Linked DNA regions of Saccharomyces cerevisiae S288C. The gene in region 1 interacts genetically with each later gene. Each region holds a gene or a part of one and is shown in the gene's direction. Other genes may lie near its edges. The genes, in order: MAK11, PFF1, CPR2 and YMR187C.

Region 1 (3,839 bases):
CGTTCGGTAAACGAGCCTTTTATGTCTACGCCTAATACGTTTTCCCGTCTTCCCCAGAAATTCATCGATTCTTCCAAAGATATATCGAACCATAATAGTGTCCCCGTGGCGCTAAATAACAAGCCTTCTATTCAGCGTGTCATCCCCGCACAAGGTTCCATCAACGGAGGTATAGAAGTGACTCTACTTGGCTCAAAGTTTAAGCAGGGCTTAATCATCAAGTTTGGCGAAAATATAGCATTGTCCAGCCAATGCTGGAATGAATCTACGATGGTGACTTATTTACCGCCTTCATCTAAACCTGGACCGGTTTTGGTAACCATAGTCGACCCAAGTGAAACGTCTATGAGAAATAATAGCAATAGTAGTGTTTCCACCAGCAATAGTACCAATGACATTCTGCACTTAAACAAGTATACCGGTGAGAAAGCAATCTTTACTTATGTTGATGATACTGATAGGCAACTAATTGAATTGGCTCTGCAAATTGTGGGGCTGAAAATGAACGGTAAACTGGAAGATGCAAGAAATATTGCTAAAAGGATTGTTGGCAGTGATTCATCTCCATCTAATAATAACGCAGGATTACACTCACAGAATAGCTCTTTAAATTCGTACACGAATATGATGCGAAATATAAACGATGAACAATTGATCACTGAAGTTATTAAGTCATTTAAGAGAAATAATAATCTCTCTACCGTCAATCTTTCCATGTGTGACGTTAGGGGTAGAACTCTATTACATCTGGCAGCATTCAATAACTGGTATAGTCTTGTCTCATTACTAATCAAATATGGGTCGCATTTGAACGACCAAGATTTATTTGGTTTTACTCCGCTACATATGGCGTGTATTAATGGTGACTTGAGAATTATAAGACTATTGTTAGAATGCAACGTTAATATTATGAAGAAAACCAGAAACGGCTTTATCGCTAAACAGTTCTTCCTGATGAATTATACTGTCAACAAGACCAGATATTCTAATTATGAAACCAGTCTGTTTGACGACATTCTGACTAGATTAACGAAGAATACAACAGGATCCAGTGATACTCAACCGTTTGAGAGAAATGTATCCCAGTCAAGTTTCAACTCAAGTTTATTTGATGATGACGATGCTGATCATGACTATGTCCAAGAAAGAAAATATTTATTGGCGGATTCCGCTGCCCTTGCCCCCGAACAATCCAACTGTAATGACAATACGTCATTCTCAATCCTAGATTCGGATTCAGGTTATGACATAAGTGATTGTGAATCATCTTCAGATGAGATTGCTTTGGAGTTCTTTAACACCCACAAAATCAAGGACTTCTCTTCAAAGCCAAATGAAATACCAAAAACTACTAAGACTAGCATAGAGCCTGACGGATCTTTATGGAACAGAATGCTAACTCGTTTAAATGACGAGCTCCCAAAGTATGAAGACTTGTTCCCAAAAAAACCCAAAAACTGGGAACTTGGTAGCAAATCTGTGGAGATTGGGCCAGATAATTCTGCCCAAATGACCGTGGATGATTCTCAAACTTCTTCTGAAGACGATGAATTAGAAGCTTTACAGGTCGGGTTCAACACAATCTTTTCCAAGAAGCAAAACTTTCAGAATGATAAGATGCTCCTATTCTTTTGGATCCCCTTAACTTTAGTACTCTTATTATGTTTCACATTATCGAATTTGGGGAAAGATGATGATATGTTTCATAATTTATCCAAAATTGTTCAGGAATATTTAAGAATTGGTTTAGCCAAGGTACTACTAGGCAACGAAAGGATGAAAACCTCTTTTAAAATGCAGTTATCGAAGTTTCAAAACAATAACATTCTAAACGACATGCGAGTCAATTAAAGACATTTTTCTAGCTACATAATCCTTACACTATATAGATTCATTTTTTATTATTTTGCATTTTTGAATTTTATCTTCTTTATGTTACTGAATACTACTTATACTGTCTTCATTTTTTTTTTGCTTAGAATTATAAAGTTCAAGATCAAGGCCGAAAATTTTTTAGAACATGAAAAATTGAAAACTCATGGTACCTCATCTCGAAAAGATCCTAAGGGCCAAGTCAAGAATTCGTGTAGAAAAATGAGTGCTATAGGCGACAAGAACCAATTTCGTATCATTGTGGGCTCATACGAGCACAACATTTTGTGTTTATCCTTAGATATCCCAAATCAAAAGGAAAATGATGCAGCAAAGACACCACATTTTATGCCAATATTTCATTTTCAAGCCCATTCGTTGAGTATTAAATGTTTGGCTGTTTCAAGAAGATACCTAGTTTCTGGATCCAATGACGAGCACATCAGAATTTATGATTTGCAAAAGAGGAAGGAACTGGGTACTTTGTTAAGTCATCAGGGCTCTATTACTGCTCTACAATTCTCACATCCAGCTTCTTCCAGTGAGGATGCTGCTGTTTCAAAGGGGAGCAAGAATAGCAAATGGTTATTATCAGCATCAGAAGACCACAAAATTATGGTTTGGAGAGTAAAGGACTGGGAAACAGTGGGGACTTTAAAGGGACACACGGCAAGGGTTAATGATGTGGATATTCACCCCACCAATAGAATTGCCATCAGTGTTAGTGATGACCATTCTATACGTCTTTGGAATTTGATGACTCTAAGAAATGCTGCTGTACTAAAACTAAGAAAATATAATACAAACGGGACTTGTGTTAGATGGTTAGGCGCCAAAGGTGATTATTTTGCCGTGGGTTTAAGGGATAGGGTGCTTATTTATGAAACTGGATCGGCTAAAGTTTTTAAAGAAATAGTCTTTCAAAGGAAAACTCTTATGCATATTGAAACACATATTTTACCATTCGATAATAAGGAATACCTTTCTGTTGGTATCAGCGATGGTAATGTTCATTTCTATCCTTGTGAGGAGTTATTCGAAAAAGTTGAAGAAAATGAAAAGCAGGAAGATGATGACGACAAGGAGGATATCAGCCCCGCTTTTTCTTTATTGGGTCACACAAACCGTATTAAAGATTTCAAGTTTTATACGAATGAATTTGGTACCTACCTAGTCACCATTGGTTCTGATGGTAAAATTGTCGTATGGGATATGTCTACAAAAGAACAAGTAGCAGTCTACGACTGTGGCGAAAGGCTAAATTGCTTAACGCTATGCGATGAAAGCATTGAGAAATACAACACAATGAAGAAGAGGGATGCTGAAACAGCTGATATAGGTGACCAAAGTGAGGTGGAAAGTGATACCGAAGAATTAAAGAAGATAATGTTTGGTGAGAAGAAGAAACTCAATAAAAAGAAGCGGAAGCAATTGAAGAAGAGTAAAGTATCAGTAGAACTTGAATAAACGCCTTATACATGCGTGCAGCTCAGAATTGTTGCGTACTAAAGTTAGTTTATATGTATAATATAAAATAATTTATCTTAATCGTTAAAGATGATATGAAGTTTTGTCTTTATTGCTGTCATTGTTATATCGTTATTTGTGGAAAGGCTACACATTATTACAAGTCATCAAAAGCCACATCAAACTTGAAATCGTCAAACAGGGTACTTATGAGAAACCCCATGTCGCCTTCGGAGCAACATTCACAACATAATTCTACATTGGCCGCCTCGCCATTTGTTTCTAACGTATCTGCAGCAAGAACACAACAGAGTTTACCAACCGATGCTCAGAATGATCGTTTGCAGCAACCCTGGAACAGAACCAATACGGCTACGAGTCCCTACCAGTCGTTAGCAAATAGCCCTTTAATACAGAAGTTGCAAGCGAATATTATGACTCCGCACCAGCCATCTGCTAATTCTAATTCTAATTCCAATTCCATTACGGGCAATGTTGTG
Region 2 (5,183 bases), on another chromosome or scaffold:
TTTTAAATACGCTGAAGAGTTTAGACATAAGAAGGAAGCTTTTGCTTACGGGAACTCCTATACAAAATGATCTTAATGAGTTTTTCACTATTATAGATTTCATAAACCCAGGAATCCTTGGAAGCTTCGCTTCTTTCAAAAGAAGATTCATTATCCCTATAACTAGAGCCAGAGACACTGCAAACAGATACAACGAAGAATTGTTGGAAAAGGGGGAAGAAAGGTCAAAAGAGATGATAGAAATTACGAAAAGATTTATTTTGAGACGAACAAATGCGATTTTAGAAAAGTACCTTCCTCCAAAGACGGATATAATTTTATTCTGTAAACCATACAGCCAACAGATATTGGCATTCAAAGATATTTTGCAGGGCGCACGTTTAGATTTTGGACAATTGACGTTCAGTTCTTCGCTAGGACTAATAACATTACTGAAAAAGGTTTGTAACTCTCCTGGATTGGTTGGCTCAGATCCCTATTACAAATCACATATAAAGGATACCCAATCTCAGGACAGCTATAGTCGTTCTTTGAACTCTGGTAAGTTAAAGGTATTAATGACATTACTAGAAGGTATTAGGAAGGGTACCAAGGAGAAGGTCGTCGTAGTGTCTAACTACACTCAAACATTGGATATAATTGAAAATTTGATGAATATGGCTGGGATGTCACATTGCAGACTCGACGGTTCCATACCTGCTAAACAAAGGGACTCTATCGTCACATCTTTCAATCGGAATCCAGCCATATTTGGATTCTTGTTGAGTGCAAAATCGGGAGGTGTAGGATTGAATCTAGTCGGTGCTTCGCGACTTATTTTATTTGATAATGATTGGAATCCTTCAGTAGATTTGCAAGCGATGTCACGAATTCATAGAGATGGTCAAAAAAAGCCGTGCTTCATATATAGACTTGTCACAACTGGGTGTATCGATGAGAAAATATTGCAAAGGCAATTAATGAAGAACAGTTTGAGCCAAAAATTTCTAGGTGACTCGGAGATGAGAAATAAAGAATCTTCTAATGATGATCTTTTCAATAAAGAGGACTTGAAGGACCTGTTTTCTGTCCATACAGATACCAAGAGTAACACACATGACTTAATTTGTTCTTGCGATGGTTTAGGTGAGGAAATTGAATATCCTGAAACAAATCAACAGCAGAACACCGTAGAGCTGAGAAAGCGTAGCACTACGACATGGACAAGTGCGCTGGATTTACAAAAGAAAATGAATGAAGCAGCCACCAACGATGATGCCAAAAAGTCACAATACATTAGGCAATGTCTCGTTCATTATAAGCATATCGATCCAGCAAGACAAGATGAATTATTTGATGAGGTTATCACAGATTCGTTCACCGAATTGAAAGATAGTATTACCTTTGCGTTTGTAAAGCCCGGCGAGATATGTCTCAGAGAACAATGACGCCAAATATGGACACTTATATACTAAATAAAATAGCTATTATTTAATCACTGATTGTATTTAATAGGTTTATTCTTGCACGACTCATTCAGGTTCAAGTCACATATTAAGTAGGGCCTATTGCTGATTCAAGTTGATATCCACGTTTTCACTAATTTGATAACGATACGCTGCGGGCGCAAATCAAACATCTGAAAGATTTGAATAGCCTTTAGTCCCAAAAAAAAAAAAAAAAAAATAATGTGAAAAATTATCTACAAGGAAATAAATTGATAGGTAAAGTTAAAGAATCACGGCATGAAATTAAAAAGTGTATTCAGATCAGTTCTAAAGTACCGGAAAACAAATTTGAGTTTGCTTCTATTAATCACCTATTCGATTATTACGTTACTCTATATCTTTGATCATGAACGTTATAAACTCAATCTACCAAAAGAGGATGAGCACCCTGAATTCAATGACTTATTAGAAACAGCATGGGGGGACTTACAGATTATCACGGCCTCTTTTCATCCGTACACGTCCAAAGAAAATGATAAAGTACATGATTACTTGCTCAAAAGGGTTCTTGAAATTACAGGGAATTCTTCGTTTGCAAGTGTTTCAGATGACAAAGAAAGCGAGAGATCCATATTATTTCAGCAACAAGATCCTTTCAATGAGTCATCTAGGTTTTCGAGAGTGACATATTTTGAATCTTCTAATATATTAGTTAAGCTTGAGGGTAAAAATCCTGAGGAAGAAGGGTTACTTCTTTCAGCTCATTTCGACTCTGTACCCACAGGATATGGAGCTACCGATGACGGCATGGGTGTAGTGTCTTTACTAGCGAACCTCAAGTACCATATAAAGCACAGACCGAACAGGACTTTAATTTTCAACTTTAATAATAATGAAGAGTTTGGCCTACTAGGTGCATCAACTTATTTTGATCACTCATGGTCTAATTTAACCAAGTATGTGATAAATTTAGAGGGAACTGGTGCTGGTGGTAAAGCTGTACTGTTCCGAACTTCAGATACTTCAACAGCAAGAATATACCAACAGTCTGTTAAGGAAAATCCATTTGGTAACTCTATCTACCAGCAAGGTTTTTATAGCAGATATGTCAGGAGTGAGACAGACTACAAGATTTACGAAGAAAATGGCATGAGAGGCTGGGATGTCGCATTCTACAAACCGAGAAACCTTTATCATACCATAAAGGATTCAATACAATATACCTCCAAGGCATCTTTATGGCATATGCTACATACTTCCTTACAATTAAGTGCATATGTGGCTTCTAATTCATTGGATACAGCTGACCAAACGCCGGCTTGTTATTTTGATTTTATCGGTTTGAAGTTTTTCGTTATAAGCGCTAAAACGCTTTTCTATTGGAACTGCATATTTCTATTAGTTTCACCCGTTGTGGCCATTGGCTTGTATTTAATTTCTCGTGATAGAATGACTTGGAAATCTTATTCATGGCTATCGTGGACACGCTTTCCTCTTTCATTAGCCGCTGGTATTATTGTCCAAAAGCTTTTCTCTAACGACATAATTCGTTCCAATCCTTTGACGTTCTCAAGGAACTACTTTTGGCCTATCTCGGCTTTTTTCACTCAAGTAATTTTTACCAGTTATGTTCTGATTAATTGCTCCAATTTTTTTTTCCCCTGTGCCGATATGAAAAGCCTATCAATTATCGAATTGTTCATTATTTTATGGACCATTTTACTTTTTACGTCGAAGTTATTGTATAGTTCCGACTATAGGTATACCGGGCTTTATCCTCTCTCGATTTTCTTTCTTCTGAGCACAATAGCTGCTATATTGAGACTACTTGCACTAGCGTTGGGAATGAGAACAAGGAAGAGGCTTGGTAGAGAATGTAGGGACCATCACTCCAATTACAGCTCCCATTCTCAAATAGATATGGAACGAGACGGTCAGGAAAACTTGGAACAACCCCAAGATCAACTTACATCGTCACAAGACGATCAAGCAAGTATCCAAGATGATAATGTGTCAACTACTTCAGCTGGCCCATCACATAATGTTGACGAGGATCATGGTATGGATTCATCGTCACAACAACATGATGAAAGGGTACCATTACTGAAGGGGTCTAATAGCATGGAGGAAGGATTGAGTACTAGAGAAAATTCTCTAAAACTTGAGTATACCGATTATGCCTGGATCATTCAATTTTTGCTAATTGTACCAATACCATCATTTATTTTGTTTAACAGTGTGGATGTTATCATGGACGCACTAAACCATACTGTCCAGGAAGGAAGTAAGGCTACATTTGATGTACTCAGGTTCGGAATGGTGGGCAGTATTTTGATCGCGCTACCAATTTTACCTTTTTTCTATAAGGTCAACTATATCACAATTTCTTTAACTGCACTGCTTTTCTTGATTTCCGCATCCAAAACGCTCCTAGTGCACCCCTTTACCAATAGTAACCCATTAAAAGTAAGGTTTTCTCAAAATATTGATTTGTCTCAAGGGAACGCTGCCAGTGTACATGTCCTTGGAAGAGAAGGAAATTTTTTAAAACCTATGCTGCAAGATTTACCAAGTATAAAATATAGCTCTACACATATTAACTGTACTTCCGTAACCAATGGAATGGAACTTTGTATGTATGATGGAATGCAACCTAATTTATTGAGCACGAATGGAAATACGAACATCAGCAGTATGGTCAAGGTTCATGTTTTACATAATAACCGAAACTCAACAGAGAGATCTCCTTACGAACCAATAGTTGCAGAGTTACTTTTGGAGGTGAAGGAGAACAGGGCTTGCACTTTAACTTTTGAAAGTAGACATCAGGCGAAGTCACCTGTCAGAGAAATCACGGTATATCAAAAGAAAAATTCGGCCCCACAGAAAGCTAATATCACGAAGACGATCAAGTCTGCTTCTGGCATAAACGAACTGCAATTGCATAAACTTGATTTCGATCAGGAAACTTACCATATCGGAGTCCAGTGGTTTCCAAAACTTTTGACGGATGGAAATGTAGAGGATGACAAGTTGGGGACAAAAGACGAACTGTCTGTTTCTATTAGCTGTTATTGGGGAGAATATGATTCGGAATCGGTTGTAAATGGTACCGCTGTTAGGAAAATTCCAGCATTTGATGAATTGATAAATTACGCACCTCTAAGTTTTTCCTTTACCAACGAACAGAAAGGATTAGTTATTGTCAAGGATGCTATAATTTTATAATTCTAATTAGTTTTAAATGTAAATTTTTATAAACTCAAATTCGCCTACTGGGGGAGTTGTCCAAAGGCTTCGCTTCTTCCCACAAGAAGAACAAAATAATAAAAAATATTTTGAGAAATTTTTCGTAACAAAAGGAAAAACTATTGAGTTTAACTTATGAATGTACTTTACTGGCCAAGAATCCGTCTGGAACCATTCTACGGTGCTCTCTTCGTAGCGCTAAAGACAGCTATAGTGGATATTCAGACGGTATTGAAAATCACTAATGATATCAGTTAACAAAGTAAGAAACATGTTTCGTCAGATAAGTTCTACACTGCTGCAAGTGCATACAATGCTCGTTTTTATAAAGTCCTAAATTATATAACCCTCCAGTAACTATTAGAAAATAGCACGCAATAATGCTAGCGATATACAAATAACCTGTAAATCTATATATTTATTAAGTATAAAGATAATGGTCTTGGAAATGGTTCTTCAGGGATTGTGATTGACTATAGCCGGATATCGTTTGGATCAAGAGCTTGG
Region 3 (2,936 bases), on another chromosome or scaffold:
CAGCGTTTCATATAAATATCAACATGAATGAAGGACAACAATTTCTGAGTTTATTATATATTTACAAGAATATGGAGTATAATGTGAACATATACGTATACATGTATATATTGAGATCTTGCGAAAGCGTCTATTGCTTGTTTTCAGCTTTCCATTTAGCAGTAAATGCCTTTCTCTTCCTCTCACCACCAAAAAATGACTTCTTGCCCAGTTTAATTTCATGAATTGGCCTATTGTTACGATAGTTATGAACTTGTTTCAGTATATATTTCCTTTGTTGAATATTCACGCCTTTTTCCTTCAATATCTTAGAATCCCATTGGAAAAGGTTGTTCCAGTTATTTTCGAAAGTATCCTTCAATTCGTTGCAATTTCGACCGATCTTGTTTAGAAATGCATCTACGTCAGGTACCTGATCGCTTGGTTTGGGGATGGTCGAACTGAAACGATAGGCAGCTTTAGGAGCGGCCAGCGAACTCCTTAAGAATAGAGGAAATTTGTGGCTAATCCGGGAAGGTATCATAGTAAAACGTGTGTTGAATGAAGGTTTGTTATTGTTTGGTCAAGTTTTCTTTGGTTTTATAGCTCTTGTTTGAAGATGGCAGAATTATTTCAAGCCTGGCTGCATTATTTTTTTTGGTTAACATAATGAGCGTATTATAAATAATGAGTGGAAAAATGTGGAACGATGAGAAGACCTCTGAATATAAAGTTGCAAGTAGTGAAACAAAGCAGGATTTCGCAAAATGAACGTGACACCGTTGGATGAATTGCAATGGAAATCTCCAGAATGGATTCAAGTTTTTGGTTTGAGAACTGAGAATGTTCTTGATTACTTTGCAGAATCACCATTTTTCGATAAGACGTCGAATAATCAGGTAATTAAAATGCAAAGGCAGTTTTCCCAGTTAAATGATCCTAATGCTGCCGTGAATATGACACAAAACATAATGACCTTACCAGATGGGAAGAATGGAAACTTGGAAGAGGAGTTTGCCTATGTGGATCCGGCAAGAAGACAAATCCTTTTCAAGTATCCTATGTATATGCAACTGGAGGAGGAATTAATGAAGTTAGATGGTACTGAATACGTATTGAGCAGCGTAAGAGAGCCTGACTTCTGGGTTATCAGGAAGCAAAGACGAACAAACAATTCTGGTGTGGGAAGCGCTAAGGGACCAGAGATTATTCCATTGCAAGACTACTACATAATTGGTGCAAACATTTACCAATCGCCAACAATTTTTAAAATTGTGCAAAGTAGGCTGATGTCCACGAGCTACCATCTAAATAGCACATTGGAGAGCTTGTATGACTTGATTGAGTTTCAACCTTCCCAAGGAGTACACTATAAAGTACCTACGGACACTAGCACGACTGCAACGGCTGCCACCAACGGGAACAACGCTGGAGGGGGCAGTAACAAGAGCAGTGTACGACCTACCGGCGGTGCCAATATGGCGACTGTTCCCTCAACCACAAATGTCAACATGACAGTCAACACTATGGGTACAGGAGGACAAACTATAGACAACGGTACCGGTCGTACTGGCAACGGTAACATGGGTATAACTACAGAGATGTTGGACAAATTAATGGTCACAAGCATTCGATCCACCCCAAACTACATATGAGAACTGCCATGGCAATTGCATATATCTTTGTACTATATTATAAAACCCCGCGAAATCAACTTTTCAGTTTTCTTCAAAAATCGATGTACCCATCATAAGAAGTTCCCCCAAAAGGAAAGAAATGAGAGGAAAAAGACACGAAGGGAAAACAAAATGAAATTCAGTGGCTTGTGGTGTTGGTTGTTATTATTCCTTAGCGTTAATGTTATTGCATCTGATGTGGGTGAGTTGATTGATCAGGACGACGAAGTAATTACACAAAAGGTGTTTTTCGATATTGAACATGGTGAAGAGAAAGTTGGCAGAATCGTTATTGGGTTGTACGGAAAGGTATGTCCTAAGACGGCGAAGAACTTCTACAAGTTAAGCACCACCACTAATTCCAAAAAGGGGTTCATCGGGTCCACTTTCCATAGGGTGATTCCCAACTTCATGGTACAGGGAGGGGACTTCACAGACGGCACTGGCGTTGGTGGCAAATCCATCTATGGAGATACTTTCCCTGACGAAAACTTTACTTTGAAGCATGATCGCAAGGGCAGACTATCGATGGCTAATCGTGGTAAAGATACCAATGGATCTCAGTTCTTCATCACCACTACGGAAGAAGCGTCGTGGCTCGATGGAAAGCATGTGGTATTTGGACAGGTTGTGGACGGCATGGATGTGGTGAACTACATACAGCACGTGTCCAGAGATGCGAATGACAAACCTCTCGAGGCGGTCAAGATCGCAAAATGCGGTGAGTGGACGCCTGAGCTCTCTTCTTGAGTATATGCAATATTTCATACTATATACATAGATATCAATTTCAGTATGTATAGTTAAAGGTAAATTAACTAGAGAACGTGGGAACAGTTCCGCACTGTGACCACCGGAACGTACGTCTGGTTAGCGCAGCATTAGTCCCAGTTACATCCGATTCAAAATGCAACAGCAAGTATTAATTGGGGAAATCATATCATTTTGAATATAACCTTGGCGTCCTACTAAGGATGGTTATACATCCTAGCTCGTGTAGTGTGATATTTTGCAGGAATGATGCAAAGAGAGGAAGAACAAGAAGAGAGTTGTTGTTTTTAATGTATCTTAGCAATTTATGAGAGGAGCATTGTCGTTGTCTGCTGTGACTAGTGCGTAGCTTTGCCGTTTGTTTTTAATCATGATGGACATGCAAGTGAGAAAAGTGAGGAAGCCGCCTGCTTGCACCCAATGCAGGAAGAGAAAGATCGGGTGCGACAGGGCAAAACCGATATGTGGGAATTGCGTCAAGTATAACAAGCCGGACTGTTTTTATCCAGA
Region 4 (3,768 bases), on another chromosome or scaffold:
TCTAGATGTTGAAGCATTTCTTGTTCACAGAATCCCTTACTAGGAGCTTCTAGTTTCAAGGGTCTTCTCTTCAAAATATTGGGAGGAACGAGCTCTTCTATAAATGCGTTTAAATCGCTATAACCCATTGTTTTTAACATTTTCTTAACGTCGCTAGGAGAAGGACCTAAATGACGTCTAGCAAAAGTATCTAGCGGTCTATCAATGTTTTTCAAGTCAGGATTGAAAATCCTGCTGTACTGTGTAGACGTTATGTCTGTAGCGGCTGTTTTGAGCAAAATAGATTGAGAATGGAATGATCTAGTCCTCGCTAATGAAACATAATTGGTGCTTGACCTGACAGTAGCCCTACAAAGGAGAGCAGTCACTCTTGTCCTAAGCATGTTATCTTCCTGGTATTAGGAAACGTTTTTCCAATAAACTGTGGTTAGTTGATGGTTAGATCGCGCAGCAATCAATACAGTAAGATTGGTACACACGAGAAAGACTAATTCACTGGAACTTGAAGAGAAGAAAATTGTGCCACTCGAGCCTGCTATATATACATCCATTTATATTCGTTGGAGATCTTTCGACTAGCTTATCAAGGTCCTTCACAGCTCAATGCTGACTTCGATGACTCCTCTGAGAGTCATGACTCCGAAAAGGAGGAGTCTATACCTCAAGAAGAGTCAGAGATGTCGGGTAACGATTCAACCGGGTAACATGATTGTTATTTCATAAGATTAGAATTCTGAAGCAATTTGGGATTGTGCCAAACCAATGCGAGCATCAAACTGTTAGAGGAAATCCACAAATAAGGCCAAACAGAAGTAAACTCAGGGAGTTGAATTCGGGTTAGAGATTTCAAAAGTCAAATCAAGATCAGTTAAACTGTAATGGCTCGCCAAAATTTTTTAGGCTTGGTCGTCTCCCAAGGGAAGATGCAAAAGACGGTTAAAGTACGTGTAGAAACAAAAGTCTTTAATAAGAAAATCAACAAGGAGTTATTTCATAGAAGAGATTATTTAGTGCATGATGAAGGTGAAATATCAAGGGAGGGTGATTTAGTAAGGATAGAAGCGACGAGGCCGCTTTCAAAGAGGAAGTTTTTTGCCATTGCAGAAATTATTAGAAACAAGGGTCAACAATTTGCATTATACGAATCAGAAGCTCAGTTAAGCGTTGCAAAAGAAGAAGCCCAAAAGGCAAAAGAATTTTTGGATAAAAGATCAGTGAGGGAGAATAAACTAAATGAAAAAACAACCCTTTTACGTGATATTAGGACCATCCAAGATGCTTTATCTAGCGGGTCAACGCCGAAAGAGTTATTGGAGATTAAACAAAGGTACGGCATTCAAGATTTTTCACAAGAAACAGTGAGGCAACTTTTACAGTTAGACATCTCTGGATTGGAGGTTAATTTGGAGAAACAAAGAAGTCTCATTGATCGTATTCAAACGCGATTATCCGAATTGTTGTCGAATGATCTAAAATGTGATCAATTTTTGAAGGATCATGGTGTTGAGGATCCTTTGACCTTGAAAAAAAACATCAAAAAAAATTTGTTAAGAAAGCACGTCATGATGGATATGCAACAACCAAGCCAGTAAATAAAAGAAAGAGGAAAGCCGAGTGTCATATTTTCTCAACTAAAGCACTACACTCTGTAAATATATACAACTACAAGACTTCGTTACGTAAATAGTAAAGTGTTATGTTTTGACTTTAAAATATTCTAGTGAAAAGAACGATGTTTTTGATTTTCTATCGTTTAACGCATTTATATATTTTCAGGCAAGTGATATCGAAGATGTGAGTACATCGCTCGTCCCCATCGTCAAAAACAAAAGTAAATAAAAGAGCTCTGCTCTGATTTTACAAACAAGAAAATTCCAAGGAAATAGTCCAAGTTTTATATGACCCCACCTCATTTTTTTTTATCTCTCATAAAAAAAAGATGCATATGCTGGATATGTTTGGAAGAATCCACATATGACTCTACATGGCTACAGCACACGTGCGGTTGCAACTTACAAATTCATAAACGCTGCTATATAAGATGGCTCTATCAAATGCATGTTGAACTTTTTCTTCCGAACACAGTGGACCTACCAAAGGATGCTGATTTACCTATAATCACCTGTTTAAAATGTCTCGTTGATGGGCACCATGATTTTATGACGACTTTCTCTCTTACAGAAATATGGGAAACTCGTCCCATTTGGGGGCAAAAATCAGTACCGTTTCAAAATGACTACGTGTTCAATCTAATGTCTCTTTATACCAAACGGGATAATCATCCACCTTATGTGTTAGTGAAATTTGGCGAATGTCCTCAATGCAAGAAAACAAATTTCATAAAAAGACCTACAGTAACCATCCAGTCTTCTGTACTATCCCTGTTTTATCAGTGGCAAAAAATTACACGATACGTGATACCATTAGGGATAACTAGTTTATTTCTTTTAAACCCTGAAAAGACAAGTTTTGACATTGGATTATGGCAACTACGCTGCCTTTTCCCTGAGAATGTTCTACGAAATATGTTAAACATCAGCACTACAAAGGCATTGGACGTATATGCGCAAACTGAACGTGGCTTATTAAGCATTCCTTTAACCTCCTCGATCATAATATATGGGTTCATACATTATCTTAGCAACATTTCTAACGTCAGTGCTAATGCAATACTCTTTAAGTGGGTGTATCTCAGTATTGTAAAAACTGCTGGAAACAAATATTACAAGGGTATAGGTTTACCTAAAATAATTTTGTATTCTAACTTGGCTACATTTTGCTATAATTTTACCTTTAAAAGATTGGTTGACTTAATTTACAGGAGGCTGATCAATAAAGGAGGTAAGTATTTGTATCACGGAAATTTTGAAAACTCTAGTAATAGCGTTCCAGCTGAGGAATTTTTTATCAGGCGGAATTGGTATGCTATTCTTGCAGAAAAGATACTATGGCCCTTTGTTGGTAAATGTACAGGAGGTCTTCTATTGAATGCTTTTCTATGGATACAGAGAAAGTTTAAAATTGAATGGACGCCGAATTGCTCCCCTTCGGAATTTAGAATGATTTTCAATATTATAGGTTGTGGTACTGCTGCTATAGGCTGGTCAAGTCTGAAGCTCTATGCCAGTTACAAAAGATGTCAGGAACTTGAAAAGATCAATGAATTTATTGAACAAAGTTGCAAAGGTGAGTAAATAAGTCATTCGTAAGTGTACACTAAACTTTAAGGACAGCTGGTAGGACAATTTTATGGTCATTTGACAGCTGATGTCTTAAATTGTGTGCTATGGTTCATGTTTACATTAAGACCAACTTTTTTAAAGGCGCGTAAAGCAGAATCATTATTACAAATAGTAAAAATAAGTAAACAAATTTATATAATATATAAAACATGAAGGCGAAAAAAGAGATTAATCAACTTCTTCCATCTCGGTGTCAGCTGGAACCTCTTCAACTGGAGCTTCGGTAGAAGCTTCTGGAGCGGTTTCTGTTTCTTCATCCTCATCAATGTTCAAACCTAAAGAAATCAATCTATTTATTCTTGATGCAAAAGAAGTTGGTTCTTCCAAACTGAAACCAGAAGTCAACAAAGCGGTCTCGAATAATAAGTTAGTCAAATCTTTGACGGTCTTATCTTGTGCACCACCCTCATCAACTCTCTTTTTCAATTCCTTAATAATTGGAGATTTTGGAGAAATTTCGAAAGTCTTCTTGGAAGACATGTAGGAGGACATGGAAGAGTCTCTCAAGGCTTGAGCCTTCATGATT

The links.
Region 2: mutations in MAK11 (region 1) and PFF1 together harm fitness less than expected from each alone (positive genetic interaction), as found in Saccharomyces cerevisiae (one large-scale study listed by BioGRID).
Region 3: mutations in MAK11 (region 1) and CPR2 together harm fitness less than expected from each alone (positive genetic interaction), as found in Saccharomyces cerevisiae (one large-scale study listed by BioGRID).
Region 4: mutations in MAK11 (region 1) and YMR187C together harm fitness more than expected from each alone (negative genetic interaction), as found in Saccharomyces cerevisiae (one large-scale study listed by BioGRID).

What each region holds. Positions count from the first base shown.
Region 1 is NC_001143.9:396,844-400,682, reverse strand, and holds MAK11 (Mak11p), read left to right. Parts: upstream 1-1,932; coding exon 1,933-3,339; downstream 3,340-3,839. Other genes in the region: SPT23 (Spt23p), read left to right, coding at 1-1,851; anaphase promoting complex subunit CDC16, read left to right, coding at 3,435-3,839.
Region 2 is NC_001134.8:384,562-389,744, forward strand, and holds PFF1 (Pff1p), read left to right. Parts: upstream 1-1,724; coding exon 1,725-4,655; downstream 4,656-5,183. Other genes in the region: DNA-dependent ATPase RDH54, read left to right, coding at 1-1,427. UniProt on the Saccharomyces cerevisiae protein: May be involved in vacuolar sorting and osmoregulation.
Region 3 is NC_001140.6:217,695-220,630, reverse strand, and holds CPR2 (peptidylprolyl isomerase CPR2), read left to right. Parts: upstream 1-1,787; coding exon 1,788-2,405; downstream 2,406-2,936. Other genes in the region: mitochondrial 37S ribosomal protein mS41 FYV4, read right to left, coding at 131-523; mediator complex subunit MED6, read left to right, coding at 747-1,634; RSC30 (Rsc30p), read left to right, coding at 2,797-2,936. UniProt on the Saccharomyces cerevisiae protein: PPIases accelerate the folding of proteins. It catalyzes the cis-trans isomerization of proline imidic peptide bonds in oligopeptides.
Region 4 is NC_001145.3:634,115-637,882, reverse strand, and holds YMR187C (uncharacterized protein), read left to right. Parts: upstream 1-1,898; coding exon 1,899-3,194; downstream 3,195-3,768. Other genes in the region: GCV2 (glycine decarboxylase subunit P), read right to left, coding at 1-383; mitochondrial 37S ribosomal protein uS17m MRPS17, read left to right, coding at 879-1,592; Hsp90 family chaperone HSC82, read right to left, coding at 3,411-3,768.